Macaca fascicularis: one gene and its partners. The protein of the gene in region 2 purifies or fractionates together with the protein of the main gene of each other region. This does not show direct contact. Links are inferred from orthologs where the notes say so. Each region holds a gene or a part of one and is shown on either strand. Other genes may lie near its edges. The genes, in order: CUL1, FBXL12 and STYX.

Evidence for each region.
Region 1: the proteins of FBXL12 (region 2) and CUL1 purify together in Homo sapiens (affinity purification with western blotting; 8 studies listed by BioGRID and IntAct, with this or other methods). This does not show direct contact. The link is inferred for Macaca fascicularis from reciprocal best matches to the Homo sapiens genes FBXL12 and CUL1.
Region 3: the proteins of FBXL12 (region 2) and STYX purify together in Homo sapiens (affinity purification with mass spectrometry; 4 studies listed by BioGRID and IntAct, with this or other methods). This does not show direct contact. The link is inferred for Macaca fascicularis from reciprocal best matches to the Homo sapiens genes FBXL12 and STYX.

The regions. Positions count from the first base shown.
Region 1 is NC_088377.1:190,441,306-190,446,741, forward strand, and holds part of CUL1 (cullin-1), read left to right. Parts: intron 1-840; coding exon 841-958; intron 959-2,037; coding exon 2,038-2,114; intron 2,115-2,597; coding exon 2,598-2,729; intron 2,730-5,011; coding exon 5,012-5,104; intron 5,105-5,436. UniProt on the Homo sapiens protein: Core component of multiple cullin-RING-based SCF (SKP1-CUL1-F-box protein) E3 ubiquitin-protein ligase complexes, which mediate the ubiquitination of proteins involved in cell cycle progression, signal transduction and transcription.
Region 2 is NC_088393.1:10,358,944-10,365,101, forward strand, and holds the start of FBXL12 (F-box/LRR-repeat protein 12), read right to left. Parts: upstream 4,120-6,158; 5' UTR 4,114-4,119; coding exon 4,028-4,113; intron 3,917-4,027; coding exon 3,844-3,916; intron 1-3,843. UniProt on the Homo sapiens protein: Substrate-recognition component of the SCF (SKP1-CUL1-F-box protein)-type E3 ubiquitin ligase complex.
Region 3 is NC_088381.1:120,556,253-120,562,484, forward strand, and holds the start of STYX (serine/threonine/tyrosine-interacting protein), read left to right. Parts: upstream 1-2,808; 5' UTR 2,809-3,121; coding exon 3,122-3,178; intron 3,179-6,232. Other genes in the region: PSMC6 (26S proteasome regulatory subunit 10B), read left to right, coding at 154-272. UniProt on the Homo sapiens protein: Catalytically inactive phosphatase. Acts as a nuclear anchor for MAPK1/MAPK3 (ERK1/ERK2). Modulates cell-fate decisions and cell migration by spatiotemporal regulation of MAPK1/MAPK3 (ERK1/ERK2).

The DNA of each region.
Region 1 (5,436 bases), on a different chromosome or scaffold from region 2:
CTCACACCTTTGGCCTTGGAGCGCATTCACATTGTGCTGGCCTGGAGCTGTGTGGAGGTTTTGTTTGCTCTGGGCTTGGTTGCTTTGCTGTCGGCAGCTCTTCTTCCGCCACCTCCTTTGCGCACCTGTTTGTCAGCGCTGTCGACTGCTCTTATCTGACTTGGAGCATATTTTACTGTGACCCGAAATTATGTGGGTATCTTTGTCAGCGTGGGCTGCCGTGAGAGAATACCATAGACCAGGTGGTTTAAACAACAGAAATTGTTTCTCACAATTCGGGAGGCTGCAAGTCCGAGATCAGGGTGCCTGCTGATTCGGTTCCTGGTGCGGGCCCTCTTCCGGCTGTGTAGGCAGCCACCTTCTTGCAGTGCCTCACGTGGCAGAGAGAGTGCAGAGCTCCTCTGCGTCTCTTACAAGCACACCAGTCCCGTTGTGAGGCCCCACGTTCAAGACCTCATCCCTCCACATAGCATCACATTGGAGGTTTGGGCTTCAACACAGGGATTTTGGGGGCACACAGTTCAGTTTCTGGTAAGAGATAGAGACAAATTATTTCATCACTGTATTCTACCATAGTGCCAGGACGCCTTGCTCTTAGATGCTCATAAATTGTGCGTGAATTGTGTGTGCAAAGACTTCACTGGGCAACAGAGAGTTGTGGGGTTTTCGACAGTGTATTAATCCATGCATATTTGTACTGTAAAATAGAGCAAAATGGTACTAGCTTTGCTAGTAGTTCCATATAATTATATATTGTATACTCTGATTTCTCTAAGAGTCCCTTGTATACATTTATATTTTTGTACAAATTAATAAGACAGTCGTCTGCGTTCTTCTCAGCAAGCTTGCGGGTTCGAGTACACCTCTAAACTTCAGCGCATGTTTCAAGACATTGGCGTGAGCAAAGATCTGAATGAGCAGTTCAAAAAGCACTTGACAAATTCTGAACCCCTAGACTGTGAGTATCCGTGTGTCTGTCTGTTGTGTTTACAGGCAGAGTTCTTTGTAGCAAATGAAGAAATGACAAAGTATTAGGTGAAGATGGGAGGGACTTTGGTCAGAAATTCAAGAACTAAGAATCAGGAGATTCTTCCCAAATGCCCAACCCTCCTCCCCCAACTCCCGTGTGACATTAGGAGATGACAGCCCCTGAAGTGGTGTCAGCTGTACTGGGGCGAGGTCACCACCTATTGGGATCTGGGGAGGGACTCACAGGCGTGGTTTTGTCTTGTAGTAAACCTTAGCTTGAATCCATTCTAGCGTTTATTTTCATGTTCCCTTGGCCTGCATAGGTAACAGTCAAGCTAAAGACCTGTGGCTTCAGACTGGGATTAGGGATCAGTACAGGCAGATACAGGTGATTCGGTTCTCCAGGAGAGGCAGCTGGGCTGGTATGTTAAGGCCTCGCATAGTAGTAGAATGGCAGATTTATGCTTACGTCATCTTTTGATCATCTTTGTCTTTTTAAAGGAAAAATGGAGAGTTTTATTTTTCCCAAATCAGGATAACGATTCCATTGTAAACCTGGACAGTTTTGCCAGTGGGCTTTGTAACTATCTGTGAAGATGAAATTAGTGTTATAATTTATAGACCATGTGTGTCTTTTCACAGTAATAACTGAAACACACACTGTAGTGAAGTTAGCAGTTTTCTCCTGCTTGTAAGTTTCCATGAGTCTGGGGCTGTGATGATGCCGGGCCTGGCGAGCCCAGGCGTGGCTTGAGTGGACTCAGTGATTCAGGACTGAAAAGGAAAGCAAGGGAAGCAGGGCAGGCATGTGACAGCAGAATTCCGAGGTGGAAGCGAAATGAAGACTGTCACTCTTTGGAAGAAAAGAATATCTGGCTCTTGCGCTTTTTGCTAATTTTAATTGAATAAAATGTTCAATTCTTAATTTTATATTCAAGCAGGATTTTTATTTAATGTGCTTTTTAATAAAGAGCAACCTACATTCATCTGAAATGATTGAATTTTTCAATTTATAAACGAATTAATGTATTCCAGAATGTTCACTCTCCCCTCTCTTCCGCCCCACAGTGGACTTCAGCATTCAAGTGCTGAGCTCCGGGTCCTGGCCCTTCCAGCAGTCTTGTACGTTCGCCTTGCCGTCAGAGGTAAGGATGGGTTTATCTGCCGTCCCCTTAGTGCTAGGCGGAGGGTGGGGCGGGGCAGCCTTCGCTGTGGAAGGGGATAGGCCTGCAGACGGCCTTCCTGCCGGCTGGCTGCGTCACAGTGAACCGTGAGGCAGCACTCAGGGAAGAGCCCTGTGCGGTGGGGCAGGTCTGGATGTCTAAAGGTGGGCTGGCTGGCCCAACTCTACACACACACATGTTTCTTTATTGTAATTAGAGCCTAATTAGTTGTGTAATGAACACCTTGACGAACCTGCTGGTCTTGAAGTATGAACCTTTTTTAAGATCGTACCTTCCAGTGCTTAAAGCGCTTTACAAGAGAGGCAGACACCTGGCGTTCGTATTTTACTTTTATATAAGCACTGACTTTGTACTGTAGGCTTGGAACAGTGTGCTTTGCTTAGAAACACTGCCTGTAGGACGTGGTGAGATCTGTATTCCATATAATGCTGTCCTTTTATCTAGTTGGAACGTAGTTATCAGCGATTCACAGCTTTCTACGCCAGCCGCCACAGTGGCCGAAAATTGACGTGGTTATATCAGTTGTCTAAAGGAGAATTGGTAACTAACTGCTTCAAAAACAGATATACTTTGCAGGTAAGATCACGTTTGTGTCTTAAAATGTTTCTGTTCTAAATGAGCATAAGGTAAATTATAGAAATCATTAGCAGTTGACTCAGCAGCAGAATCTAGAATTCAGCTTCTGGTGAAATAGTGGCAAGTTTAAAGCATGGAGTTGTAAGAATCAGAGGAGCCAAATTCCAATTCTTTCTGGCTGGGGAACAAGTTATTTAATGATTGTGAGCCTCAGTTTTCTCCTCCATTCATGGGATGTTAGTGCTTATACTTGGGAATTGATGTGAAAGTTAAATAACGTATTTAGTTAAGTGTTTGGCACGGCTCCTGCCGGACACACATCAAGTGTTCAGGTAGTGACTTAAAACGCTGGAGTTGCGTGCATTTAATTATAACAGCTCTCCACCTTTGACAAAGCAGTTTCACATTAACAACAGTGCTTACAACGATATTGAGTATAACCTAGTTTATAACTGTGTAACTAAGAATATTTCCATTTTGTAGGTGAGAAAACTGAGGCTTGGGTTAATTGAAGTGAATTTCTCTGAATCCTAGCTTATCTGTAGCTGAGCCAAAATTTCAGTTAAAGTCTTTTCTCTTAAAGTTCAGGCTTGGCTGATGTGGTGGCTCATGCTGGTAATCCTAACACTTTGGGAGGCTGAGGCCAGAGAATCGCTTGAGGCTAGAAGTTTGAGACAAGCCTGGACAACACAGCAAGACCCCATCTCTATAAATTTTTTAAAGTAAAAAGAAAAAAAAACTCCAGGCTCTTTCTACTTCACTTTTGTACAGAGTGGGCTTCACAAGTAATGGCATAATTTAGTCTCTGAGAAGGTTTCACCAATAAACTTCTGAGAACAACTACAAGTCTATGTTTAAGTATTAAGAAACTTCAGAATGGGTTGTTCTGCAGGCTCAAGCTGCTCATTAATTTAAACTTTTCATAAATCTACTCTGACTTAAAATTGTTAAAATGCATAGTATTGTTACGCTGGCTCGAGAGGTCTTTATCAAGTTGAATGTTTCTTACTATATAATTGAAATTTTGTTTCATTTATCCCTAAATATTCGTAGAAGAATCCATGTGTTCGACTATAGTACCTGGAATTTCAGTGTCCAGTTTTTGACAAGGCGGAGGCTTTGCCTAGGGTGTGTCTGCCATGTTAAGGCAGCCAAGAGCGGGCCCAGTAGAAGACATTAGCAACACACTCATTCCCTTGCGTCTCTGTTCAAGGCCCTGGAAGCGCTGTTGTCTGTGGGCCCCCCTGAAACGGGCATGTGGCATTTTTTGTTTGTTTCTCTTTTCATTGACTGAGGTCTTGGCTGGGCGAGCAGTGGCTGACAGTCATGGGTCATTACTTGTTGCTGTCGATTCTGCAAGGAAAGAGGGAGAAGAGAGGAAGGAGTCTTCAGGGGCATTCATTCGCTCGCACACTCTCAGCAATCAGGAACCAGCGCGTGCTACCTGTCTTTTAGAAGATACTTTAGGGCCGGGCACAGTGGCTCAGCCTGTAATCCTAGCACTTTGGGAGGCCGAGGTGGGCAGATCACAAGGTCAGGGATTCGAGACCAGTCTGGCCAGCATGGTGAAACCCCATCTCTACTAAAAATACAAAAATTAGCTGGGCGTGGTGGTGCTCGCCTATAGTCCCAGCTACTCGGGAGGCCGAGGCAGGAGAATCCCTTGAACCTGGGAGGCAGAGGTTGCAATGAGCTGAGATTGTGCCACTGTACTCCAGCCTGGGTGACAGAGCAAGACTTTGTCTCAAAAAAAGAAAACCTTTAGTGCACTTGCCATTTCATACTTTACTTACTTTTTTCCTACTTTCATAGTAAAGTACTTAGGATTAGAAAACCAAATATAATTTGATATTTGTGTTGTTTTACATCAAGAATGTGCCAAAAGATAATACTTCTTAGCTCATGTGCCAAAAACAGATTTGGAGGTTGATGCTTAACATGTCCACATATACCAGGTGTGTGTATATGTGATTTTCGCTATAAAACGAGTGGGGACATACGTATCTATAGTATATATCCACATAGACAATACATTTTTTGAAAAAACTTCAAATTATTTTAATGTTTGAAAACATGGAAGATGAATGACTTTGGGAAGATGTCGCATTGTGGTGGCATTGCCACGTTTTATATTCCCTTTTAAATAGATCTGCGCTTTGTTTGTACTTGTTTAAAGAATGTGTTTCATAAATAAGTTCTTCAAACTTAGGCCATGTATTTTTGGAGGTGTTTCCATGCATTTAAGTTTTCCTTCTTTTTCTTTTCTATGGGGGGCCTCAAAGGCGTCTACATTCCAGATGGCCATCCTGCTTCAGTACAACACGGAGGATGCCTACACCGTGCAACAGCTGACCGACAGCACCCAGATTAAAATGGTATTCTCCTCTCAGCCTCTTCGTTCTGTCGAGCTGCCATTTCCTTGTTCTCGCGGATATTGTTAGGAAAGATAAGGGAGAGGATATGGGCATCTTTCATTTGAAATAGATGTTTGCCTCATGAATATGAATATGTTCTTATTCCAGGATTTTAATGTGCATTATGAAAGTCTTAATTTTAAAACTCAGTGTTGAGCCAGGCATGGTGGCACGTGCCTGTAGTCCCAGCTTCTTGGGAGGCTGAGGCGGGAGGATCACTTGAGCCTGGGAGGTCGAGGCTGCAGTGAGCTATGATCATGCCACTGTACTCCAGCCTGGGTGACGGAGACCCT
Region 2 (6,158 bases):
CTCCCAAAGCGCTGGGATTACAGGAGTGAGCCACCGCGCCTGGCCAAAAAGGTGTTTCTACATCAAGCTCTTCCATTCACTGAAAGAAAATAGCTTATTATCAATCCTTAAGGAAGCATGATTGCATTTGCCTTTTATACATGCATATGTAAACCCATGTAATACAAACTGTATTAGTCTATTTTCATGCTGCTGATAAAAACATACCTGAAACTGGTAAGAAAAAGAGGTTTAATGGGACTTACAGTTCCACACGGCTGGGCAGGCCTCAAAATCACGGCGGGAGGCGAAAGGCACTTCTTACGTAGCGGTGGCAAGAGAAAATGAGAAAGAAGGCCAGGTGCGGTGGCTCATGCCTGTAATCCCAGCACTTTGGAAGGCCGATGCGGGCAGATCACGAGGTCAGGAGATTGGGACCATCCTGGCCAACATGACGAAACCCCATCTCTACTAAAATACAAAAAAAAAATTAGCCAAGTGTGGTGGCACACGCCTGTAGTCCCAGCTACTTGAGAGGCTGAGGCAGGATAATTGCTTGAACACGGGAGGCAGAGGTTCCAGTGAGCCGAGATTGCACCACTGCACTCCAGCCTGGTGACAGAGCAAGACTCTGTCTCAAAGAAAAATAAATAAATAATTTAAAAAATACAAAAAATTAGCTTGGTGTGGTGGCACGCACCTGCAGTGCCAGGTACTCAGGAAGCTGAGGCAGGGGAATCGCTTGAACCCAGGAGGCAGAGGTTGCAGTGAGCCAAGATCGTGCCACTGCACTCCAGTCTGGCAACAGAGCAAGACTCCATCTCAAAAAAAAAAAAAAAAATTGAGAAAATGAGAACGAAGCAAAAGTGGAAACCCCTGATAAACCCATCAGATCTCGTGAGACTTATTCACTATCACAAGAATAGCATGCAAAAGACCAGCCCCTATGATTCAATTATCTCCCCCTGGGTCCCTCTCACAACATATGGGAATTCTGGGAAATAAAATTCAAGTTGAGATTTGGGTGGGGACACAGCCAATCCATATCATATCACCCCTGGTCCCTCCAAGTCTCATGTCCTCACATTTCACAACCAATCATGCTTTCCCAACAGTCTTCCAAAGTCTTAACTCATTCAGCATTAATCCAAAAGTCCACAATCCAAAGTCTCATCTGAGACAAGGCAAGTCCCTTCCACCTATGAGCCTGTAAAATCAAAAGCTAGCTAGTTACTTCCTAGATACAATGGGGGTACAGGTATCGGGTAAATGCAGCCATTCCAAATGGGAGAAACTGGACAAAACAAAGGGGTTCCCCCATGCAAGTCTGAAATCCAGTGGGGCAGTCAAATTTTAAAGCTCCAAAATGATCTCCTTTGATTCCAGGTCTCACATCCAGGTCACACTGATGCAAGAGGTGAGTTCCCATGGTCTTGGGCAGCTCGGCCCCTCGTGGCTTTACAAGGTATAGCCTCCCTCCCGGCTGCTTTCACAGGCTGGCGTTCAGTGTCTGAAGCTTTTCCAGGTGCATGGTGCAAGCTGTGGGTGGATCTACCATTCTGGAATCTGGAGGACAGTGGCCCTCTTCTCACAGCTCCACTAGGCAGTGCCCCAGTAGGGACTCTGTGTGGGGGCTCTGACCCCACATTTCCCTTCCACACTGCCCTAGCAGAGGCTCTCCATGAGGGCCCCACCCCTGTAGCAAACTTTTGCCTGGACATCCAGGCGTTTTCATACATCTTCTGAAATCTAGGCAGAAGTTCCCAAACTTCAATTCTTTTTTTTTTCTTTTTTTTTTTTTTTTGAGATGGAGTTTCGCTCTTGTCACCCAGGCTGGAGTGTAATGGCATGATCTCGACTCACTGCAACCTCTGCCTCCCGGGTTCAAGCGATTCTCCTGCCTCAGCCTCGCAAGTAGCTAGGATTACAAGCATGTGCCACCACGCATTTGTGGTATGTTTAGTAGAGATGGAGTTTCACCATGTTGGCCAGGCTGGTCTCAAACTCCTGACCTCAAGTGATCTGCCTGCCTTGGCATCCCAAAGTGCTGGGATTATAGGCGTGAGCCACCGTGCACGGCCCCGTACCTCAGTTCTTGGCTTCTGTGCACCAGCAGGCTCAAGATCACGTGGAAGTTGCCAAGACTTGGGGCTTCCACCCTCTGAGGCCACAGCCTGAGTTATACATTGGCCCCTTTCAGCCACAGCTGGAGCGGCTAGGACACAGGGCACCAAGTCCCAGGGTGCATGCAGCATGGGGGCCCTGGGCCCGGCCCAGGAAACCACTTTTCCCTCCTGGGCTTCCAGGCCTGAGATGAGAGGGGAATGCCATGAAGGTCTCTGACATGGCCTGGAGACATTTTCCCTATAGCCCATTAGACTCCTTGCTACTTATGTAAATTTCTACAGCTGGCTTGAATTTCTCCCTAGAAAATGGGTTTTTCTTTTCTATCACATAGTCAGGCTACAAATTTCCAAACTTTTCAGCTCTGCTTCCCTTAGAAAACTGAATACTTTTAACAGTACCCAAGTCACCTCTTGAATGCTTTGCTGCTTAGAAATTGAGAAGTTGAGATTTGGTTGGGGACACAGCCAAACTATATCATGAACCAAGAGAGAAAGAAACATGTTCTAATGAATCTTCTCAGGAAGCTGAGGCAGGAAGATCGCTTGAGCCCCGGAGGTTGAGGCTGCAGTGTGCTATCATTTCGCCACTGCACCCCAGCCTGGGTTACAGAGTGAGATCCATCTCAAAAAAATAAATTACAGAAAGATAAACTGCAGAGCATAAATGCACACAAAACCAATGGATGAATCAACTTTTCCTTGCAAAACCAATGACTGAGAATACTCTAAGTTTCATAATATCAGGCCAGGCGCTGTGGCTCACACCTGTAACCCCAACACTCCAGGAGACTTGAGGTGGGAGACAACTTGAGTCCAAGAGTTCGAGACCATCCTGAGCAACATAGCAAGACTGTCCTTAAAAAAATAACCTCAAAAGCAATACTGTATTAAAGGGAGTTACAGATGGATATATACAGTAAAATAGTCTAAAAGTAGAACACTATCTAAATAGTAGAACAGCATTACCTGAAGTTTAGAAATACATTACTAATACTATAATTGTTTATGGACACACACATATGAAGTAAGGTAAAAGGAAGGGTGCAAATCCACTTTATAATAGCAGTTATCTATGAAAATAGTTTCAAAAAGGGTAACAAATATATCTCTAAATGTTTTGGGTGGGCCAGTTGCGGTGGCTCATGCCTGTAATCTGAGCACTTTGGGAGGCTAAGTCGGGAGGATCACTTGAGCCCAGGAGTTCGAGACCAGCCTGGGCAACATAGTGAGACTCTGTCTCCACAAAAAATAAAAGATTAGCGGGTATAGTGGTGAGCGCCTGTGGTCCCAGCTACTCAAGAGGCTGACATGAGAGGATCGCTTGAGTTTGGGAGGTCGAGGCTACAATCGCACCACTGCACTCCAGCCTGAGCAGCAGAGCGAGACCCCCGTCTCAAAAACAAAACAAAAACTTGATAACATAGTCATAAATTAGCATTTATCGAATGATAAATATGTGCCAGACTGTTCTAAGCCCTTTCCCTGCATGATCTCAGTGAAGTCCCACAATAGTCCCGTGAGGCAGGTACTGTCCTTTATCCCCATTGCAGGGATGGGGAAATTGAGGCCCTGAGGTAGAATAGGAGCAGGTAAGCGATGATGCCGAGATAGGCCCAGGACTACCTGGCTCTAAATCCCCAGCCCGGGTACCGACAACCTGTCCCAGGGTGGGAGAGGTGGTCTTTCGGGTCCGGGCACCGCGACCGCGGCCCAGGCCCGCCTGGCCAGCCATGCCTACCGTGTAGAGCGTCAGGTCGACATGTCGCCACAGCCACCGGTCGTCCACCAGCCTCTTCCAGCGGTGACAGACCCTGGGGGAGGGGACGCGCGGTTAGAACGACCCCAGCCCCAGGCCACATCGCATCTCCAGGTCCCAGGTGCGCCCTCCGCCCGGCCCTTCCCCCCCGGAGGCGGGGCCGCACCTGGAGATGCGGATCCGGTCCCGTACCGGGAGGTAAGAGAAGATCTCAAGCAGGACTGAGTCCGGCAGTTCGACCAAAGTCGCCATGATCCCGCCGACACGCACTTCCGCTTCCGGTTAAGGAGACCCGAGGGGGTCCCCGCGGGGGCCCCGAGGCGGCTGACAGGGCGGCGGCCGCGACCTTCCCGTAGCCGGTAGAGGACTTTGACTTTCCTTTCGCTGGGCAGTGATTGGGTCCCAGGGCCGGACCAGCCGCGGATGGGGACCAGAAACCAGACTGGAAAGCGTGACTGAGGCAGTGAGAGTCTTGCGGGACGTGGCTGAGGCGTGATTTGGCCGCGACTGGGAACTAAGACCAAGTCCGCAAGGCGGGGCTGGAGTGAGGCGAAGCTCGGGGGCGGAGCTAGAGACGAGGACCAAGTCCGAAAGGCGTGGCTGGGGTGGGGCGAGTATCGGAGGTGGTGCTAGAGACGAGGACCGAGCCTGGAAGGCGTGGCTGGAGTTGGGCAAGGCTCAGGGACGGAGCCAGAGACCGGACCCAAGTCCGGAAGGCGGGGCTGGGGCGAGGTTAGGGGGCGGGGCTAGAGACGAGGACCAAGCCCGGAAGCCGGGGCGAGGCCTAGGTGGGGCTGCAGACGAGAACCACGCTTGGAAGGTGTGGCTAGGGCGGGACGAGGCTTGCGGGGCCGGGAGAGGACCGGACAACCGCTGGAAGGCGAGGCTGGGGCGGGACGAGACCCTGGGGGCGGGGATGGCGACAAGGACCTAGCCGAGAAGACGTAGTCGGGACTGCAAAGGACATGATTTCATTATCTTTTCTTTCTTTTTTTTTTTAATTTTGAGACAAGGTCTCGCTCTGTCACCCAGTCTGGAGTGCAGTGGCGAAATTACAGCTCACTGCAGCCTTAACCTCTGGGGCTCAAGTGATCCTTCCACCTCAATCTCCCGAGTAGCTGGGACTGTAGGGGCATGCCAACACGCCCGGCCAATTTTTGTTTCGTTTTTTGAGATGAAGTCTTGCTCTGTCACCCAGGCTGGAGTGCAGTGGCACAATCTCGGCTCACTGCAACCTCCGCCTCCCAGGTTCAAGTGATTCTCCTGCCTCAGCCTCCGGGGTAGCTGGGACTACAGGCGCCAGCCATTATGTCCGGCTAATTTTTGTATTTTTAGAGATGAGGTTTCACTATATTGGCCAGGCTGGTCTCGAACTTCTGACCTCAAGTGATCCACCTGCCTCAGCTTCCCAGAATGCTGGGATTACATGTGTGAGCCACCACGCCTGGCTAATTTTTGTATTTTTTTGTAGAGCCGGGGTTTTGCCACGTTGCTCAGGCTGGTCTTCAACTCCTGGGCTCAAGAGGTTCTTCCTGCTTCAGCCTCCCAAAGTGCTAGGATTACAGGCATGAGCCACCATGCCCAGCTGCTTGCATTCTTTTTTATGGCTGCATTATGTGTGTCTTCTTGGCTTGTTGCCTTCCTATTATCAGACTGAATTCTGGGGTGGCAGATGGGACTTGTGCACCCCAGCTCTGCTGAGGTGCTCAGATAGTGGGGGGAGGAAACTCCTATGCACCTGCCTCCACCCCTAAGATTACTTCCCTTCTTGTGAACTCTGGCAGGGGAAGGGGAGTTCCTTTAAGTTTGGCAGAACCCAGATGTCCCTTCCCCGCCATCCCCACTCAGTTACAGGGGGTTCCTGCACCACCAGCATACAGGGCTAGAGGGAGGGAAGTAGTCAGGTGAGAGAAAAAGAAACCCACATACAAGCCTTCCTCTGGACCAGGAACCCAGGAAACAAGAGTGTAGAAGGGGCCTGCCCAGCTTGCTCCTTGGGTCTTGACCCAAAACTTCACCTTCTGGAAAGTATCCCTCCCGCCCCCTGCCAAGGAAAGCAGCTCTGAGAACAGATCTTCCTACAGCAGGCCAGGTCTCCATGTGCAACCACAGCAGTGAGTCTTCACCAATACCTTGCAGTAGCTCTGATGAATGTGTAGCTACTCGGGAGGCTGAGGCAGGAGAATAGCGTGAACCCAGGAGGCGGAGCTTGCAGTGAGCCGAGATCGCACCACTGCATTCCAGCCTGGGCGACAAAGCAAGACTCCGTCTCAAAAAAAAAAAAAAAAAGAAAAAAA
Region 3 (6,232 bases), on a different chromosome or scaffold from region 2:
AAAAGATGGTGGTTTTTAGCAAATTGGAACTACTGGCTTAGAAGTAATAAATCTAAACTTCACATTTATTCCATAGAATTACATTGTTTTTCTTGTAATGAGCATATAATTCATATGTGATATATAGCAGTCATGTGGTTTTATTCTCCACAGGTATGTTCGCAATTCGTGCTGATCATGATTTTGTAGTACAAGAAGACTTCATGAAAGCAGTCAGAAAAGTGGCTGATTCTAAGAAGCTAGAGTCTAAATTGGACTACAAACCTGTGTAATTTACTGTAAGATTTTTGATGGCTGCATGACAGATATGGCTTAATATAAAAATAAAGTTAAAGAAAATAATGTATGTATTGGCAATGATGTCATTAAAAGTATATGAATAAAAATATGAGTAACATCATAAAAATTAGTAATTCAACTTTTAAGATACAGAAGAAATTTGTATGTTTGTTAAAGCTGCATTTATTGCAGCAAGTTACAAAAGGAAGAGTGTTGAAGCTTTTCATATTTGCTGTGTGAGCATTTTGTAAAACATTGAAAGTTGTTTGAGATAGTGGTATAAGAAAGCATTTCTTATGACTTATTTTGTATCATTTGTTTTCCTCATCTAAAAAGTTGAATAAAATCTGTTTGATTTAGTTCTCCTACGTATATATTCTTGTCTTTTCTAAGAGTACATTTACTATGGTCCTTTAGGTTCTTTAGCAAGTAAACTATTTGATAACCCAGATGGATTGTGGATTTTTGAATATTATTTAAAAATAGTACCCATACTTGGTGTTCATAAGATCATCTTCTTAAATAAAACATGGATGTGTGGGTATGTCTATACTCCTCCTTCCAGATAGTATTTACCTATTCTTCATTTACTGTGATTAAGCTCATTGTTGATTAATTGAAAATATACATGCACATCCATAACGTTTTAAAGAGTATGATTCAATGGAATATTTGCTAATATGTGACTTAGTTTTCTTGGTTTATGTAAGATGATCGGTCCCTGTTGAGGATGTGAAGGTCTGGACTCTCTTCCAGGAAATATTATAACATACACACAATTTTGCATATACTGTACTTTCAGGAAATGTATTGTTTCCCAGGCTCATCCAAGGACTCTTTAGGTATCTATGGATACCTGGCTAACAGTGTATGATGTAGGGGATGTAGGAGTGTCAGAAATGTTCAAAACAAGATTTCTGTTACCTATACATGATTCTTTCTCGTATCATCTGGCAATAAAACTATAACAGTACACAAAGGAATCATTAGGCATAAATAGTTATTAAAGATGCTGGTGAAAAGAAAAGACAACTTCAGTTTCATAAACACTAAAGAACCAAAAATACATGACCTAGCTAATGACACAATAATTCTTCAAATTAAAAACTTCCTAGCAGGATATTATGTGCCTTTTTTTAATTTTAAAAGATGAAGAACAGTTAAAATAGTGATAGAGAAAATGGAGTGCTCAAGTTAGCCATCTAATACTCAAATTATACAGTTCTGTTTCTATGTGTTGGCAGTGCATTTTATGTGACAATATAAAAAGAATGTCAGGGGAGGTTTAAGTCAAATATCTACGTGATCTTTTCACTTATAATTTGCATTTAGTTAATGAGTAACTTGCCTTTTACCTTTGTGGCAGTGGTTGTTTTTTAAAGAATCAATTTGGTGTACAAATCCTTTCTTTTCTGTTTTTGAGAGAGTTTTGCTCTTGTTGTCCAGACTGGAGGGCAATGGCACTATCTCGGCTCACTGCAACCTCTGCATCCCGGGTTTAAGTGGTTCTCCTGCCTCAGCCTTCCAAATAGCTGGGATTACAGGCATAGGCCACCACACCCAGCTAATTTTTGTATTTTTAGTAGAGACGGGGTTTCTCCATGTTGGTCAGGCTGGTCTCAAACTCCCGACCTCAGGTGATCCGCCCACTTCAGCCTCCCAAAGTGCTGGGATTACAGGCGTGAGCCGCCGTGCCTGGTCCAAATCTTTTCATTGTGGGTTTACAGGCAAACGCCACCACGCCCAGGGAATTAAAAAAAGAAAGTTTTTGGGGGGGGGTGTCTTACTATTTTGCCCAGGCTGGCAAATTCCTTTTAAAATATATTAAAAGCCATGTGGTTTATTAATTTTATTTCAAAATATAATAATTAGTGGAATAAGCTTTACAGTATTATACACAATTTACTAAGTCAGCTATCAGTTCCTTTTTCTGATTTTTTTCAGTTGTCATTCTTGATATTTTCTAGGTAATCTAAACGGAGTCGTATTTTCAAGTACTCTTAAAATACTTTTAAGATTGTTAAAGCATTGAGCCGTTTAATTCTTTGCTTAAAGGTGATGGGTGTTTCATTTTCTGTATGGCACTACGTGATTTTAAATCGAACTCTTCATTTGGTTATAAACTCAGCATAGATTGTGCAGAATTTTGAGAGGGGAGAAACTATAGCTTTCCTTTCGGATGCCACTATCTGGTGGGTAGCAGGTTTTGCCTGTCTGTTCTTACGTTAAAGAAGGGCTCTACGTCCTGTCTGGAAAGGGCGGAGCTGGCTCGGACCGCCCCACTGCCTTTCCCAGGACCTTCACTCGTCCTGTCCCACCGCAGCCCCGCCTCCTCCACGCCGGGTGAGCCGTGGCCTAGCAGCAACCGAGGCTCCGCTCCCCCACCCCCCGGCGTCTGCGCTCTAGCGAAGGGGCGGAGCAGGGGTGGTGGCGCGCTGACACCTGGCGGCGGCGGAGGGCGGGCAGAAGGCGAACGTGGGCTGGGATTGGCTGAGGCGGCGCGGGTGGAGGGGGCGGGAGGGAGGCGGCGAGACGGTTGTCGGGCTGGTACCCGTGCTGGATCCTGGGCGGCCTGAGGGTTGCGGAGACTTTAGGGGAGGGAGACGGCAGCGGCATGGCGGCCGGGTGTAAAACGCCCGACCCTCCTCTTATCCGTCTTCGCCGCCGCCGCCGCTGGAGTCACTGGGACCCTCTAGTCTGCGTGTGTTAGTTTAAGCCCGCCGCCCGCCTGTGAGCCCTCCGCTCCGCCGGCCCTCCTTCCTTCCGCCGCCGCAGCCAGCCCAAGGGTCGGCCGGCTGTGTAACACTCTCCCACCCCACCCACCAGCCCGCGGGCCAGCACCATGGAGGACATGAAGCTGGAGTTCCCTTCCCTTCCACAGTGCAAGGAAGACGCAGAGGTGAGTCGGCCCCGTGGCTGCCATGCACAGGCCTCTCCCTGTGGCTCCGGCCGAGGGGCGATCCCAGTCCCCAACCGTCTTAGCCCCCACCTGCGCGGGCGCCCTGCCTCCTGAGGGCGTCCCGGGACCTCTGAGGCCGAGCAGTCGGCTCCAATCCCGACTGAGTTTCTCGTCCTTTCCAGACCCCGCGGAGGGACAGCGTTTGGTGTACTTACATTTGAGAAGAGGAAAAGCAATCCCTGAGTCCCTAGGCTTGGTTGGCATCCAGGACTGACCTGGAGTAAGATTCCTCTTTTATTGTCAAAGTAACTTGAAAGCGAAGTTGGTTTTAATCTCCTTTTGAGGAATGTCTGTGGTGTAAACGATTCACTTGTGGGACACATGGCCCCACATGCGGAGTAGACTCGGCGCCTGAAGTTTGGAAGCGCGCCTTCGAAAAGTTTCCCAAAGTTTTTTATTTTTAGACAAAGCTATGACCCGCACAATAAAGTGTCTCAAAGCTAGCTCATCTGAATCTGATAACTCTTAATCAGAAATCTCGACCTTTGGAGGAAAATTAATATTGAAAGTAAAATTCTATATACCTTTTCTCCTGGTTTCTAATTCGTGGCTATTTTTACTCCACCTTACATCCCTGCCTGCTGTTTCTATTCGGATTTTATTTTTCATCTGTTGCTAGTTTAACGTTTAACGACATTGCAGACTACTAAATTAGAATTTTCTGGAGGCTAAATTAACAAGACGAAGATACTCAGCTATGCTTTAGTAGGATTAAGAAAGAAAATGTAACATCGCTAGTTAAAAATACCTTTAAAGTAGTTGGGAAAAATGAAGCCCTATTTTTAGGAGACCATTCAGTTTATTCCGAATATTTATTCTATTGAGTATCTTCATTTGAGGTTCTTTTTTTTCTTGAGACGGAGTCTTGCTCTGTCACCAGGCTGGAGTGCTATGTGGTGCGATGTCGGTTCACTGCAACCTCCGCCTTCCGGGTTCAAGCGATTCTCTTGCCTCAGCCTCCCGAGTAGCTGGAACTACAGGCGCGCACCACCACGCCCAGCTAATTTTTGTATTTTTAGGGGAGACGGGTTTCACCATTTTGGCCAGGGCGGTCTCGATCTCTGGACCTTGTGATCCGCCCGCCTCGGTTTCCCAAAGTGCTGGGATTGCAGGTGTGAGCCACCGCGCCCGGCCTAGGTTCACATTTTTGTTTGGAGGGCGCTCTTGTGGTATTGATGCTTGACAATTACATTTGTTTTAAGAGTAGAGACTTTGTGACTGGGTATCACCATTGCAAAATGGAGTGCAGTGGTGCGATCTCAGTTCACTGCAGTCTCGAACTCCCATGCCCAAGCCATCCTTTGACCTCAGCCTCTCGAGTAGCTGGAACCACACCTGGCTTATTTTTATTTTATTTTTTTGTAGCGATAGGGTTGTTCCTTAGGCTGGTCTTGAACTCTTGGCCTCAAGATCCTCCCGCCTTGTCCTCCCAAAGTGTTAGGATTACAGGTGTGAGCCACCGCACCTGGCCCAAAACTATACTCTTTATTTTTTTTATTTTTTTATTTTTTTGAGACAGAGTTTCACTCTTGTTGCCCCAGGCTGGAGTGCAATGGCGCTCTCTCAGCCCACTGCAGCCTCCCCCTCGGGTCCTGGTTCAAGCAAGCAATTCTCCTGCCTCAGCCTCCCGAGTAGCTGGGACTACAGGCACCCGCTACCACGCCTGGCTAATTTTTTTTGTATTTTTAGTAGAGACGGGGTTTCGCCGTGTTGGCCAGGATGGTCTCAAACTCCTGACCTTGTGATCCGCCCGCCTTGGCCTCCCAAAGTGCTGGGATTACAGGCGTGAGCCACCGTGCCCGGCCAATTATACTCTTAAATAAGAAAAAAAGAGGTCATATTTAGGCTAGTTATAAAAATGAATTTATACTTAACATGCAATAATGTGAATGAAGAGTATGATTTTGTTTATTTGTTTGTTTATTTATTTATTTATTGAGACGGAGTTTCGCTCTTGTTGCCTAGGCTGGAATGCAGTGGCGCGATTTCCGCTCACCGCAACCTCCGCCTCCCGGGTTCAAAAGATTCTCCTGCCTCAGCTCCCTGAGTAGCTGGGATTACAGGTGCCCGCCACCACGCCCGTTTAATTTTTGTATTTTTAGTAGAGACGAGGTTTCACCATGTTGGCCATACTAGTCTCAGACACCTGACCTCAAGTGATCCGCCTACCTCAGCCTCCCAAAGGGCTGGGATTACAGGCTTGAGCTACCGTGAAGGAGTATACTTTTATATCCTCAAAATGATACAGTAATTTCAGCACTTAACTGCAAGCAACCTTACAAATAATGTAGAGGAGTCCCACATTCCAGGTGAAGAAATTGTACCTTACTGAAAATAAGTGATGTGCCAAATTAACAACACAGTAGCACAAAACACCAGGAGGACCTTGGCCTCCTAATTTATTGTTCTTTTTAATACACTTCAATTCTTCCCTGCCCTAATCTTAAAAATTCTAGTTTAAAAATTTCCCAGACTTTGCATTTAATCTGGTACTGTATATATCATTATGTATGCCTTATTCCTGCAAAACTGATAAATTCTTGGTGGGAATATACCTGTCTTTTCTGTGTGGGACTGTTGAAAACATACTCTTTTTCTGTGCTGCCAGATGTGTGGGGATTTTTCCATACCAAGCAGTTTTCCAGCAGGCATGAACTGAATGTCCCATAATTCAGTTCTGTCACGTATGTACCTAAAGTTAGTCAGATCCCACAGGTTAATGGCTCAGTCCCACAAGGGTGCCCCCAACCTCAGATGGTAACCACAAGTAGTAGGTTGTCACCTATACACTCCTGACTGACTGGAAATCAGGGTTCCCGTTACTCCCTCCTTGGTTCAGTTAACTTGCTAGAGTGGTTTACAGGACTCAAGGAAGTACATTTACGGGTTTATTATAAAGGATATTACAAAAGATCCAGTGAACAGACAGAAGGAAGAGATGAATAGGGCAAGGTATGGGGGAAGGGGCACAACACCATCCCCAGTATCACCAGT